Notamacropus eugenii: one gene and its partner. The protein of the gene in region 1 purifies or fractionates together with the protein of each later gene. This does not show direct contact. Links are inferred from orthologs where the notes say so. Each region holds a gene or a part of one and is shown on either strand. Other genes may lie near its edges.

Region 1 (7,699 bases):
CACAAATAGCCCCCCAACCTCTCAGGCAAAGAATGTGCTGACCTGGCCAACATCATACTAGTTGAGATCTGGAGGAAGATTTGGGAAAGGGACAGGAACGGGGTGTGGCAGAGTGGAAAAACTGGGTCATAGAACAGCTTGGGGCAGAGTTCATCTTGGGAGTCTATACAGCTTCCAGCTAGGACAGGAACAACCCCAGCCCTGGGGGCCAACAGAGGGGGAAAAGAGAATAATTGCCTATGGTTCACCTATCCTCTGGGCCAAGACCACAGGGCAACTCTACCGTTTGTCAAGAAAAGGATAGGACCACCCTGCCTCCTTGGACAACACAACAACTATATGGTACCCTAGCCTACATGAACCAAAAGAGTTCAAAATTTGGCCCTCCACTATACCAGACTAAAGCAAAGGACAGGGGAAGATAGGGATTAACATCTACCCAAACAACTATGAAGGGTATAGCAGAGGCTCCACTACACACATCCGTGACCCCAACTTAGCCCCAAATCTAGAAGCATTTCTAAGGCAGCCCAGTTCTTGTCAAAAGTAAAGAAAATTAAAAATAAAAAAGATAGTCACTGGGGAACCTAAGCAAGATCAGTAGCCTTTGGAATGCAAGAATGGCTGGCTCAGATAACAAAAGCAGTAGTTAACATTTATATACCACTTTTAAGGTTTACAAAGTACTTTCCATACATTTTCTCATTTGAACTTCACAATAACTTTGTGAAGTAGGTTCTACACATCTATTTTCTCCATTTAACTGAAGACCAAACTGAGGCTCAGAGAGGTTTCTTGGCTGGCTAACGGCCACACAGCTAACAACAGAATGTGATTCCAGGGCTCACTACACTGTCTCTCTGATACTTCAAGATCCAATAGAAGAAGAAAGTTCTCATGAATAGACAATAGGGAGGATAAGAAAATCTGAGATGGGGAATAAAGAAAACAAGTAGGAGAACAAAAAGGCCAGTTTAGGGGCAGGAGAGAAGACAAGACAAGCATACAGCATCTCTCCATCTGAGCAGTGAACTAAAGCTCTGCTCCTCAGGACTGGTCAGTACCATCTCCGAAAAGCACAGGATAAATCAGACTACTTCAATTTGCCTGGTGCAAAGTCCCACCCCAAACACATATAACACACCTCTATACTTTCCTCTCCCCCTTCACCAAGATAAACATACTTTCCCAGACACAAAGTCTTCTGTTAAACATTCCTTCCCTAAAAAGAATGATGGAAAGTCTTTAAAAAAAATTCCTTCCTACTCAAATGTACTGGGGGAGCTCCTCTGCTCCCCAAACCCTCAAACCTTGTCTTCTAGATCATTAACATATTCCCTCAGCTTTCATTCCCCAACCAAAACACTCCAGCAATTTGCCTGGCTGCAAGTGCTCCATATCCCGGCTGTGAGCGAGATTCAAACTTTGCACAGTTCAGTCAGCAGAGAGAACAGAAAACCGGTAACTGATCACTGGCTAAAAATAAACTGAATAAGAGAACCCAGCAATCCCTGTTTATACTTTCCAAGGCATCACTGACCCCTACCCCCAAGACCCCACTAGATTTCAGGGAAGCTTGGCCACTCTGCCCCAAAACCCTAAGGCCAAGTCACAAAGCACTGGCTGACCATAACCTAAGCTTACTGCCACCCTATTCATTCTAAGCTTCACATAGAGCAAAATCTTCATCTCACCGTGAGCTCAGACCCTACAAATGGGCACAGATGGGCACTAAATGTCATCTCCAAGACACCTCAATCCATGATGCCCAAGGCAGAAACACATGGCTGCCATCACCCTTTTTACAGGGGAGCTCAGAAGAATTGAACCACTCCCTCTAGATACCCTCCCACCTCAGATCCTGCAAAGAGAGGCATTACCCAACCCTGCCCCAACAGTCACTAGGGGAAGGCCCCAAAGCCTCCTCTTTCCCAGCCTGTGGCCCCTTCTGAGCACTTACCTGGGTGGGGTGGGGGAAGGCTGTTTAGAAGCACCTCCATGTCCTCTTCCTCACTGCCTGCTGAGCAGGGGGATGGGGAGCCCAGGCCTGAAGCCATCCCCTTCCACTCCTGGCCAGGGAATTGGCCCAGCTGCTCCTGCCTCCGGCCTGGGGCCCTCTGTGCTGGCCCGAGTCACTGTGCAGAGGAGGGGGGAGGGGGGAAGAGACAGAGAAAGAGAGAGAACAGTCAGTGACGTGCACTGTCCCTGTCCCCCTCCCCCACCCCACCCCCACCTATTCTTTCCACCCACCACCCCACCAACCCCCCCTTGCCACTTGGGCCAGACGGCAAAACCCACTTGAACTGAACTTCGTTCTTCAGCGTTTCGGGGGAAGGGTCCGGGATGGGCCTCGCTCCCCGTGAGGAAGGCTAAGGCCAGAGGTGGGGCAGGGGCAGGAAGGAAGGGGCCCTTCCCTCCTCCAGGGCCAAGCGGGCATTGTGGGAGGACAGCTGAGGGCCGTAAGGAGAAGGGGCCAGAGCCCGGCGGGCTACGAGAGGGGCGATTCTCGGAGGCGGAAGGTCAGTGGGGGGCGGGAAGGGCCAGCTCCCGGACGCCGGGAGGGGTCAGTGCCCACTGAGGGCAGCTGATCCCGGGAGCGCTTCAGGTTTTCCAGGGAGCCAAGGGAAGGGGGCGGGTGGAGTCTCCAGACTTGAGCCCGGTCTGGAGCGGGGGAGAGAAGGGGGGGAAAGGGTCTGCAGGCTAACCTGGGGAGGGGGGCCAGGCCACGTGTCCCGGGGAACAAGCCCGCAAAGGGCAGCAGGGGGGGGGGGCAGGCGCCTAACACATTAGGAAGCCGCCCCCTCCCCGCTGTCCTGGGGGGCCGAAAGGGCCCACGGAGCCCGAGGAGGCGCCTCCAAGCCTTGGGTGGGGGAGGGCTCTGCTCTCCTCGGGCCCTTGGGGGCTCGGAGGGGGGGGCCGCCAGCCAGGTGTGAACGAGCTTTCTGCGGGACAGGGGAAGGACCCCCGGGGGAGTTTCTCTGGAAGGGGGTCTTTCCTTGGGGACCCCGCCCCCTCCTCACCCCGGAGCCGCGGGGTCCAGCTCTTGTAGCTCTCGCTCCCACTCCAGCTCCTCCTCGCCGCGGCCGAAGGGGGGAAAATGGCTCCGGCTCCGGCTTCGCCTCTTAAAGGGCCCGAAACACCGGCCGGGAAATCCCACAGCCCAAGCCCCGCCCCCCCCCCGCGGACAGCCCATAATAACCCCAACCAACTCCAACCCTCCCCAGTCCCCTTCCCCCCACCCTCCACCTTCCTCCCTGGATCTCCCCGGCAACGCCCGCCCCCTCGTCGCCCCAGCAACCATTGGCCCCGCCCCTTCATCGCTCGCGCGCGCGTGTCACCGGAGCAACCGCCCACCTCCCGGACATCCCATAATACTCGTGGACTCCCCCACTTCCATATACATATATGCCAGAGTTAGGGGCATCCCATAATACTCAGTTCCTTTGCAACTCAACCCTTTCTCCCCAAACATCCCATAATAACCATTCTCCTGCCAACTTCCCCACTCTAACCCCCCAGGATTGACATCCCATAATGATCCCTCTCACCCCTCCCTCTCCATGGCCATCCCATAATAACCACCCCTCCCAGCACTTCAGCCTTACATCCCATAATACTCACCCCCATCCCCCAACAGACATCCCATAATAACCACCCTCCATCCACCCCCAGTTTGACATCCCATAATATCCACCCTCGCCCTCTGCAACAACGGCCATTCAGGGCCCCTTCCCACACAACATCCCATAATAACCAGTCTCCCCCTTTCTATATAGACATCCCATAATAACCAACCCCATGGTAGCTCCCCCCAGCCCCTCCAGGCTAGTGTCCTCTGATAGTCTCACCACCATCATCCTCATCCTTTACACACTCACTCTGTAGTCTGGCAGCCCATAATAATCACCCCTCCCCTATATGCAGATGTCCCATAATGATCAGCACCCTCACTGTCACCCCACAGATGGACATCTAATCACCTCTTCCCTCAAGACATCCCATAATAATACAACTCTCCCACTCCAACCCAGATATCCCATAATAAACACCAGGGGCAGCTGGGCAGCCAGACATCCCATAATACTCCCAGAAACAACCTAGTGTCACATCCCATAATATCTCATTCTCCCCCCCATACTCTTCCAGCCAGGCAGCCCATAATACTCACATTCATACCTCCCCCATCTCCAGACACACAGTCCATACTAATCATCAGGAACAGGGAGGGCGAGGCAAGGCTACCCACACTGTCCAGTCTGCCCACACACACACATACACACACACCTCGCCCCATCCTGAGCCAGAACTGTATCCTGGAGTGATAGTCTCTGATGTCCCAGGTCCTGGCCTCCTGACTCTCCTATGGAGACCACCTGGAGCCCCACCCAGACGTATTGGAAACTGGAGATGCCAAACGCTTGGCTTCCACTCCCACCCCTGGTGAGCCGTCCAGGTGGATGGACCGTTTTCATGGAGCTTCCTCTTTCTCAGACTTCCCCATGATATTCACAGGGATCAGTGCAAAAGCTATCATATGGAGCTCCACTTAGTTCTCTTTCCCATCCTCAAGCCCTGGGTACTTGTTCATCAACATGCTCCAGCAACTCCTATGTTATGTGGCCTGACCCCCCCACCTGCCCAGGAGCAGGTACTTAACTGCTCACCCACATCCCATAGTGCACTTATTCATTCATCCGATATTTATTGAGTGCTTGCTGTGACATTGTGCTAGGCCCTGGAAGGATCACCAAAATGCCTTGCTTGTCCTCAAAAAGTTGAAAATCTAGTAGAGGTTAAGAAAGGGACATAAATAGCTATAATATATGTGACAAAATTGATACCAGAGAGGTACAAAACACTGTAGGAGTTCAAAGAGAGATAACTTCACTACTCAGCTGAGATTTCTAATATCACATAAACCAATCTCAACTATTCTGGACAATGTCCTGATCTCCAGTAACAAGTCCCTGATGGCTGTCACCCAAGGGAGGTGCCAGAGTGGCCTCATCTACAGTTGGGTTAAGGTAGCCTGTCAGCGATATTAAGAAACATCTCATACTATAGAAATATTCATCTCCCCTGAATCCTAAAATATTAACATTTTCCTCAGGACACTCACCAAAATCCCATAACATGCTATATCGTCCCATTACACATTACATCTTTAATGCTTTTTCAATGACTTTCCCTTTATGATATCCCATAGTGCTCCATTATTCCCATTCAACTAGTCCATCCTCCAACCCTATCTATCTGTCCCTGACTTCCCAGGATATTCTGTTACTCTCCATCCTTTTCTTCACATGCACCAACCACCACCAACATCCATCAAACTTTCTCACCCTAGAGCTATTGTAACAAGTGACACTTCTACCTACTATACAAAGTGGCCATCTTTGTCATCAGATAGTCCCCACCCTCTGTCCTGGAAACTGTGCCTAGAAGATCTTCCCCACCTCTACCCCTAGTTCCCTTTGCTTTTTAGAGGTCCAGCACTCCCATGGGCCTCTCTTCCATACTTCATCAAACCTTTTCCTTTCTGTCTGAAAAACCTCCCCCTGCCTCCCCCCCAACAGGCCCTAAATAAACAGGGTCTGGATTTCTTGTCTTCAATGAGCTTTCAGTAGCTTTGCACCCTAAACAAACACTTTTTTCTCAGCCTCTATATTGATTTCAGAAAGTCTGCCCTCTGGAATTTAAACTCTGTGGAAGATATTAATGGTTAGAAGCAGGGCTTACTTCACCAAAATGCATTCTCATAATGGGCTGTTAATTCATATAGCCTTTCCTTTAATTGCAAGCTCGTTTTCCTACACACAGGTATTCTTATCCAATCTGACAACTGATGGAAAACTAGCAACACTATTTTCCATTCCCACAACTTTCATTTATATCTCTTCTAAGCCCCTCAAACCACAAGGTCTCATTTTCTCTCTCTCTCTCTCTCTCTCTCTCTCTCTCTCTCTCTCTCTCTCTCTCTCTCTCTCTCTCTCTGCCAATTTCTTCTTCACAAAGACAGAGCAGTCACAGAATCTCATAGTTAAAAGGAACCTCCCCAGATCTTTAATCCAATCAGCACTTGAACACAAACCCCTTCTGCACCAGACCTGGCAGGTCAGGGTTCTGCCTTTACATGTGAGGGGAAACCCACTACGGGTCAAGACAGACCATTCCATTTTTAGGTAGCTCTAATTTTTAGGAAGCCTTTCTCTTACAGAAAGCCTAAATCTGTCTCTCCAACGTACACCCATTGCTCCTACTTCTATCGTCTGGGACCAAGCAGAAGAATTTTAATTCTTCTTTCACATGACACCCCAAAAGAGTTATTATATCTCACCCTGCCTAACCAAATTTTCTCTTCTCCAGGCTAAATACTGGTAGTTCCTTAAGCCAATTTTCTTATGGCATAGTCTCTAGTCTTCTCAACATCAAAATCACCCTGCTTCGAGATGCTCTCGTTTGTCTAGATCCATTTGAAAATGTGATGCACAATAGTCCAGATGTCATCTAACTAGGAGAGTACCAACTACTTCCTTTTTTCTGAACACTATGCCTCCTTAATGCAGCAAGGATAGCATTAGCTTTTATGGTTGTCTGTCACACTTAGAACCCATGTTGAGCCTGCAGTCCTTTAAGACTTCTAGCTTTTTTTCAAATGAACTTCTGACTAGTCAAGTATCTTTTGTCTTGTACTTGTGAGCTCCTTTTTAAAAAACTCAAGTGTAAGATTTTAGATTTATTCCTATTAATTGAAGGGTTGAATAAACTGTGGAACATTAATGTAATGGAATACTACAGTGCAATTAAAACTGACAAGTGTGAAGTATACAAAGAAATCTGGAAAGATCTTTATAAAATAATACAAAGTGACAAAAAGCAGAACCGGAAGAATAGAGAACACACATAATGACCAGATGATATAAGAGGAAAAGTGAAAGAGAGTAAATGGACTATGGGAGTAACCAAAAAGTTATAATGATATTTCATACACTGAAATCAACTTATTTAAATATTAGTCCAAAGGCATATTTAAATAGTCGTATTGATGCATGATATTGTTTATAATAAATTCTGTTTTAAAATGTATCATATTCAATTGTGTCTTATTAATATTCAGCGTAATATTCTTGTCTATTGAGATATTTTGGGATCCCAATTGTCATATAATGTGTTAACTACTCCTTCCAGCTTTGTATCACATATAAATTTGATGAACATGCCCTCTGTGCCTTTTTTCAAGTGACCGATAAAAATATTAAATAGCACAGAGCCAAAGACAGGTGTCTGGGATGTTCCACTAGAGATCTGTTTTCAAGTCATTAAATCATTGGGTTCATTGCAACTTTTCACTGTTTGGTCCTAGTCATTCTACCAGCGCTGAATCCACCTTACCAAACTCATTTAACCCATATCTTGTTCAGCTTGTCCACTAAGGTAACATGAGAGATTGTCAAATACCTTCACCAAAAACCATTCTTTCCATTATGCTGGATCCCTAAGTAACCCTGTTTCTCTCAGCACTTCAATTTCTCCCTCCCCCAATATCACCACAGCCATCCCATTCCCTCCCATATATCTAAGATACAGGATTGTTCTTTCAGTGTTTAATTCAATTAAAAAGACATTTATTAAGCACCTGGTGTTTAAGGTATTTTAAGGTACTATGCTCATTGCTTGGGATATAAAGAAAAAAATTGTC
Region 2 (7,733 bases), on another chromosome or scaffold:
TCTCATCCTACCTATCTGGATCCACTTCCATGTCATACTCTAGGGTTTCCCTCAAGATTCTGTCCCCGGCCCCTCTTCTTTCTATATACTACTTTACCTGGTGATCTAATTAACTCCCATGAATTTAATTACCATCTCTATAACAATGTCATTCTGAAATCTACCTCTCCTGCCCCAATCTCTCTGCTGATGCCCAATCTCATATCTCCAACTGTCTTTCAGACATTTCAAACTGGATGTCAAGTAGACACCTTAAAATCAGTATGTTCAAAATGGAACTCATTACGTTTCTCCCAAACCACCTTTCCCCCTTTTCCCCTTTCTTATTATTATAGAAGGCAACACCATCCTCCCAGTCCCTCAGGCTCACAACCTAGGAGTCAGCTGGACTGCTTACTATGTCTCATTCTACCGTATCCAATCTGTTGCCAAGCCTTGTCAATTTCACCTTTGCAACAACTCTTGTATATGCCCCTTCTCTGACAGTTATTACTATGATAATATAGGACCTCATTACCTCATGCCTACACAATTACAAGAGCGTACTGCTGGGTCAGCCTGCCTCAAGCCTTTCTCCCCCCTCCAATCCATCCTCTATTGAGCCACTAATGTGATTTTTCTAAAGCGCAGGTCTGATAATGTCACCCCCCCCCCCCCAACTTGACAATCTCCAGTGGTTTCCTACTGCCTCCAAGTTCAAATACAAAATGTTCTGTTTAGCATTCAAAGCTCTTGTAAGTCTTCTTACACCCTAATCTGAAACACATATTCTTTGATCCGGTGACACTGGCCTCCTGGTTGTTCTACAAACAAGACACTCCTTCTGTGGGCTCTGGGCATTTTCTCTGGCTGTCCCCCAGGCCAATCATTCGCTCTAAAGACCTCCCCTTTGGTTTCCTTTAAGTTCCAATTAAAATTCCCTCTTTTACTAGAAGTCTTAACCAACCCTCTTAATTCCAGTGCCCTCCCCCAGTTAATTATTTCCTATTTCTCCTGTATATAACTCATATTTGTATACATGTTGTCTCCCTCACTGACCATAAAATCCTTGAGGGCAAGGACTTTCTTTTGCCTCTTTTTGTATCCCCAGCTTTTAGTACAGGGCCTGACATATAGTAGGAGCTTAATAAACGTTGATTGATTGATAGACATGGTTAAATCTCCTAAATGGCAGAAACTATCTTTCTTCTTTGTATCACCCTGTGTACCTTGCACTTAAAAAGGCACCTTAGTGTTTTAAATACTAGAGACTTGTACCACCCAAGAGTCAGTACCTCTCCCCTCCCCAGCCTTACTCCAGCTGAGTTGTCCTGTTAGCAAATCTCTTCTCTAAGGAACTAAAATATTCTATTTCCACACCTCTCTCCTCTTTCCACTCCATTTTAGTACTTGTTTTCCTCTCAAAGATGCTGGCACTCTGTTCTTAGCTCCCTTATTGCCCCTTGGTCCAGTCCCTGATGCAGCCTTACCAAGCCTCTCTTGTGGGACCCTGCACTTCCCAAGTCCAGCTTCCTCCTTTTGGCAGTGTCTGGAAGAGATAAAGTAAGGTTTTTCTCTTCAAACCTAAGCAAGATTTTTGATACCCCAAACCAAAGTTAACTGTTGTCCCAATGGTATAGGCGAGAAAGAAGCTAGAATCTATCTATGGTTGAAGGATATACCTGTTCCCATATCCCCCATTGAGTGAAGATCATCACTCATTCGAAAATGCTGAACTTCAGGGGGGCGTTTCTCAGGGACTGGAGGCTAGGGAATACACAGAAAGGAAGATAAGACTCCCCTCTTCCCCCCAACTCCCGCTCCTTATTACAAGATATACCTCTTCCCTTCCCTGCACATGCCCTTTACCTGTCCATTCCCTGGTTTGGACATGGTTTTTCGAGCTCGGTGGACCTTGGGCTTCCCTTCAGGGCTGGTGGGGGTGGGGGTAGGGGTCGGGGTAGGGGCAGGCTCAGGCCCAGCCCCAGCCCCTTGTGCCCCAGGCATGCTCAACAGCCGCATGGCTAAACTCTGGACTGAGGGAGGTGATTTCCCGGTCCCTGTCATGGTAATCTTCGCCCGGCTTGGGCAGGTGCTGCCCCCTTTGCTGGGGGACGAGGGAAAGGACTTAGTGGCATGGCCTGGACAACATGGTTGGGAGAGAGAGGAGGGAAAACGGTATGACCTGAGAGCCCAGTTCTCCCTGCTCCCTGAATTCCCCAACCTCAAGCTCTCCCAAATCCTTACCTAACAACATCCTACCACTGTGGATGCCCTCATCTCCCTCTGAACTCTCTGGCTCTTCACCAATGAGGGGTGTGGACCCCACTGGGGTGTCAGCACCCTCATCTCCTACAGTCACTGTGACTGAGGCAGGAGATGAGGGGCCAGTGGGTTCCACAGACTCGGGATGGTCCTGGGGTGGGGTCTCCTCTCCAGGAGACTTATCTCCTGAGGAGGAGCTAAGACCTGAGAAGAAAAAAGAAAGGTTGGGGAGTGAGGGGTGTCATGAATACCAAGATCCCCACAAGACACACAGACATATACACACACAGTTGGGGAACATGATTCCTTTCAGGAAGAGATCTAAGGGGAAAGGGCAACTTACCATCCTGCCAGGTTGTTCCAGATAGGAAAAAGAAGAGGGTATTGGGAAGCAGACTGCTTTCACAACAGGGAAGAAGAGGGGGCTGGGGAGCAGACATCCTGTATACACTGTATGCTTACCTCTCTCTGCAGTTCCCCGAGGTTCTTTCTCCAGCAGCAGCGCCCCCCCCATCTCACCAGGGGCCTCCCCCTGCGAGGGGAGACAAGGGGTAGGGGGACTGGTCAACCCGGCTGGGGGCAGAGGAACCCAGGACGCCTGGGTCCGGGCGGAAGAGAGCAGGCTTCGCCCCCGTCCCCGGCCCCGATGGGTTGCCCCTCGCCCTCTGCCGCGACTCCCAGGAAGTGGCCCTCGCCCTCTCCCCCGGGTCCGAAGGGACCCCCTCCCCCTTGGTAGCCCCCGCATCCCGGGAGCAGAAAGGAGGGGAGGGGGCGTGGCCAATGCGCCCCGGCCCCGCCCCCTCCTCCCGGGTGCTCGAGACGCTCCCCCTTTGTCCCCGGAGCCGCGGGGGCCCCGCGCGACACCCCCCCCGGCACCCACTCCCCCCCAGCTTGGCGGCCTGCCCCGCGCACCCCGTGCGCGTGCCCCTGGGACCCCGGCTCCATCCGCCCATCCGGGGGTGGCCAGCGGCTGCACGCGCACCTCCGTGCCCGCTTCCCCCGCCTCCCATCCCCTGGTCCCCTCCCCGGCCCCCGGCGCTGGCCCCCCGGCTTGTTGCAAGCCCGGCTCGGGCCCCCCGGCCCCGTTGCACCCCCGGAGCATTGCACGAGTGCGCGCTTCCCCCGGGCGCGCGCGCGGGCGGGCATGCACCCGCCTCCCCCCCCTCCCCTTCCGCACCTCGGCGGCCGCCGCCGCTGCAGCTCCCGCCGCCGCCGCCATAGCCGCTCGCGCGGGGGGCCCAGGAGGCGCGCGGCCGCCCGGGTCACGTGGGCCGGGGGGGGATGGGGGAGTTGTGAAAGGGGGGAGGAGGAAGAGAACCCTTAAAGGAGCCGTGGCCTATTCCATTGCCATTTTCCCGGGATAGGATCCCGGAGGGCTGCGGAGGATGCCCGGGATGGGGCTGGCGGGGGCGCTTCGGAGGCCACTTCGATCTGGCCGCCCCAGCCTTCACCATGGGGGGGCGAGCGCGGGCGCTCTGCCGGAGTGTCTGGACTGGGGGCGGGGGCCGCCGCTGCGGTGCGAGTCTATTGCCCAATAACTCCCGAGCCGCGGTTCGTCCGGTCCGGGTGTCCCGGGAAGGGGAAGGACCGTGCCTCTGCCTCCGATCTCGGTCCGGGCAGGAGCAGGAGAGAAGCCTTTGCTCCTGGAGGCGGGAATGGGGGTACTCCGAGACGCTCTTCCCCTTTACCTAGGGCTTTTACTCCCGGCTCTTATTGTGAGTAATTAGGGCTTAGTTAAAGACCACTCCAATCCCGCCCGGCCGTCCACGGATCTCTCCAAGAACTTAATTCAATCACAACTTCGCTAATGTCATCACGACCAGAAGAACAGACGCCGCGGTCCCAGCACAGACGGACGCCCCGCCTCAGCAGCCTGTACTACAGCCCTCGAACCCGGAGGACTCCACAGCCCCGGGCTCTGTGGGTTGGCACTGGGCACCCGGGGCCGCCTCTGAGGCCTCCTGGGAGCTGTAGTTTGCACAAGCTGCGAGCCGCCTCTAAAGTTTTCCGCCAACTCGCAGACTCGAAGTAGTATTGGAGAAGGGCCCCAGGGTCCATCTAGTTCGGGGGTTCTTAACCTTTTTGGGGGCGTCATGGACACTCCTTTGGCAGACTGGTGAGGCTGATGGATCCCTTCCCAGAAAAAATTTTAAAATTCGTAATTGAAGGAAATGCTGTTTGTTTGAGCTTAGTGGGAAAAAAACCCAAATACATTTCTACCCCATCCAAGACCATCATCCCAATTTGAGAACGCCCTGATGTAGTCTAATCCTCTCACTTTGTAGAAGCAATAGGCTCAGATGCCCCTTCTCATAGCTAGATAATGACAAGAGCTGGGACTGAAAGACAATGGCCCGACTTCACCATAATGAAGAGTACTTAGAATTTTGAAAAGTACTGCTGAAACGGGTTTACATGATTTTTGCCCACATGGTGAGGAGACCAGGAGGTGACTAAAAACACTGGACAGGCACAGGAAACTCAACAGAAGCAGAAGATGGAAGGCCAGGGTATTCTTAGGAAAGAGCTGTTGGCTGAAGGTACCAGGATGCTCAGAATGGAAAACTAGGGAATGGAAAAAGGAAGTATCAGACTCAGACAACAAACGTTAAGAATTTTTTTTTTATTTTGTGGAAAAGCGGAAACTGAGACTTCAGATTCCAGAAAACTCCTGAAAAATATGTCTGTTTCCTTAAAAAATACCATTATGTCTCTACCACACCCTTTCCCTCCCCTCCCCAAGAGCCTTTTTCTAGGTATTTTCCTTTTCTCCCCATATCCCCTCCCCAACCCTTACTACTTCTGACTTTTCTTATTTTGCCTCTATTTGTTTTCTAGTCTACTTCCATTCTCCTTTTTTCTTTCATATTATAACCATTTGTCACTTTTTGTCTCCTGAGACAAAAGCCCGTCCCAGTCCCCTTCCCTCCTCCCTCGCATGCAAAAAAAGACATTCTCTACCCTTTCTCCCTGGGACTTGTTAACCTTTTCCTCATAATAGTTGCTCTCCCAGGAATTTAAGAGGTTTCCCCTGTTCTATTACCACCCAAGGACAGGTATAGCTTTGGTAAGATACCCTCCCAATTCCCACCCACCCTACCTCAACTGAGTTGTCTTCTCTATAGCTTTCTTACCCAATGATAAAACCATCTTCTATTTCCCCTTTTTACTACTTACACCCTGCACACCATCCTCACCTCAATTATCTACTTATTCCAGAAAAGAGCCATCCCTCTTCCTGGGCCCTTTTATCCTAGAAAACAGGAACCATTTCTTTCCTCATCATCCCAAGGAATGGTTAGTTAATCTCCTCAGCAAGGTCTTTTAACCCCTTCTTATTCTCAGAGGAAGACCTGAGCTGTTCTTTTGTTAAGACCTCTGCCTTTAACCCCAAGATGTATGTTAACTCTCCTGGAAACAGAAAAGCCCCCTTCCCCTTCAAACTTCCTCCCCTTTTGGAGAGAGAATCTTTCATCACCCCCCTCTACCAGCAATCTCACCTCACCCCTTCCCCTAGTTATCCTTCCTCCAGCTAGTGGAGGAGGGCATTGAGCTCTGACACACTGGCATCAAGGACATTCTCTGCTGTGGTCTTGCCATGCTGCTCCTTGAGGTGTCGACGAATGGCAGGTTTATGGGCAAATCGCACATCACAGTAAGAACAACGGTAGGGTCGAGCCCCAGAGTGAAGGTTGAGGTGGTCGTGTAGAGTAGACTTCTGTGTAAAGCATTTGCCACAAATACCACAGGAGTGTGACTTGACACCTCGGTGAACGTTCATGTGACGGTTGAGGTTGCTGCTATGATTGAACTGCTTCCCACATCGAGGGCACATAAAGATGAAGTGCTGGGCTCTCATATGGAACACAAGTTTTTCCACACCCTGAAATACTTCTGGGCACTTGGTACACTTGATGTTCTTCAGTGGGTTTCCCACTGGGGAGCCCCCTGGTATAGGACTCCTCATGCCCCCATAACTCCCACTAACTCCACTGCTCCGGGACATAGTGGCTGCAGCTAGGGCTTCATCTCCCAGCCCAAGGGTAATGCCCTCCCCTACTTGACCTCCAGGAAACAGCAACAGACCCTCCCCTTCCGCATCTTCTGTAAGGCTATAGCAGGCCTTCACCACTCCCTGGGGTGCTGTGCTATCATCAGGGGCATCAATAGTTTCTCCAACTTCATTGATGAGGAGTCCGCTACTCCCTCCAAGGCCAAGACCCCCTCCAAGGTTAAGGTTCCCCCCAAGCCCAAGGCTCCCTCCAAGCCCAAGGCTCCCCCCAATGCCTCCAGGGGGCTTAAGCCTCTGTGCCACTTCCAATGCTGATTCCACCTTGACAATGCAGATATCTGATACATCCTCATCTTCATCCTCTTCTTCTTCTTCTGCCTTTAGCTCAAGATCCTCATCGAGGGGAAATTCTAGCTTCACTGGTCGGAGAAGAGGAGGTGGAGGAGGTGGTGGTGGGGGTTTGGGAGCTGGTTTAGGGGTTCGAGCGGGTGGGAGGAGTGACTTGGTGGAGCTGAGCCCAGTCAATCCAATCCCTCCACTGACTCCATCCTCTTTTAGGCCAATCTTGGGTTCAATGAATTGGCTCAGGGCATTTCTACATTTTTCTACCACGTGCTCCATTTGGAGATAAGAGGCAGCAGTCAGGTAGTTGACAATGTCCCGGACAGCAAACTCCAGAGCACCTGTATAGCAGGAGAGGAGGAGGTCTGCCACGATTCTGGCACTGTGCATTAGCGAGACCTGCAGCTCTGAACTGGGATTGAGGAGAAACTGGTCACGAAGAAATGGGGAGCAAGCTGCCAAGATAACCTTGTGGCCCCGGAACTTGAGGCTGTCGGCCACAATGGTGACATCGCAGAAGCGCTCTTCTGCCCGAAGCTGGTTCATGTTTCGAAGGGTAGCAGCCTCATGTCCTGGGAGCTGGAATCGCAAGACTTCCACTCCAGAGGCCATGGTACTGGGTGGGCTGGGGGAGTTCCCTGTGTTTGGTGGAGGGCAAATTAGTTAGGAAGCCGGTCTTTCCCCCTTCCCCAAGCCTCGGCCCCCTACTCTCACCTCTTTCCCGCTCCCCGGGGGCAGAGGCAAGCTACTTTCTTCTCCAGACCACCCCCTACCCCTCAGTTTGGGCTCCGTCCCATCCCAGGGGGAGGGGAGGGAACTCGAAGTCCCACGAGGGGCGGAGGTCGCATACTTTCTTCCCCCAAGCATCCTACCCACGAACTGGGGGCCCAGACAAGAGAGGGGGGAGGTGTGCTTGAGAGGTGTGTAGGGGGGAGGGGCAGGGATTTGAGGGTTCCCTTGTCAGGGGCACGCTCGCCCTTTCCCCGCCTCCCTGGGCACGTTTACACGCGCCCGTTCCCGGCACCCCCCACCCGTACGTGCCGCGCACGCCCCCCCATCCCCACCCCAGCACGTTACTCCCCTGCCCCCCAACCCTCGGGGCCCAGTTGCTCCGCAGAACTTGTCCCCCTGAACC

Evidence for each region.
Region 2: the proteins of CHD4 (region 1) and EHMT2 purify together in Homo sapiens (affinity purification with western blotting; 3 studies listed by BioGRID and IntAct, with this or other methods). This does not show direct contact. The link is inferred for Notamacropus eugenii from reciprocal best matches to the Homo sapiens genes CHD4 and EHMT2.

The regions. Positions count from the first base shown.
Region 1 is NC_092874.1:194,885,388-194,893,086, forward strand, and holds the start of CHD4 (chromodomain-helicase-DNA-binding protein 4), read right to left. Parts: upstream 3,017-7,699; 5' UTR 2,299-3,016; intron 2,136-2,298; 5' UTR 2,058-2,135; coding exon 1,961-2,057; intron 1-1,960. UniProt on the Homo sapiens protein: ATP-dependent chromatin-remodeling factor that binds and distorts nucleosomal DNA. Acts as a component of the histone deacetylase NuRD complex which participates in the remodeling of chromatin.
Region 2 is NC_092873.1:85,598,138-85,605,870, forward strand, and holds the start of EHMT2 (histone-lysine N-methyltransferase EHMT2), read right to left. Parts: upstream 3,006-7,733; 5' UTR 2,990-3,005; coding exon 2,707-2,989; intron 2,449-2,706; coding exon 2,227-2,448; intron 2,121-2,226; coding exon 1,849-2,120; intron 1,747-1,848; coding exon 1,662-1,746; intron 1,529-1,661; coding exon 1,470-1,528; intron 1-1,469. Other genes in the region: ZBTB12 (zinc finger and BTB domain-containing protein 12), read right to left, coding at 5,777-7,210. UniProt on the Homo sapiens protein: Histone methyltransferase that specifically mono- and dimethylates 'Lys-9' of histone H3 (H3K9me1 and H3K9me2, respectively) in euchromatin.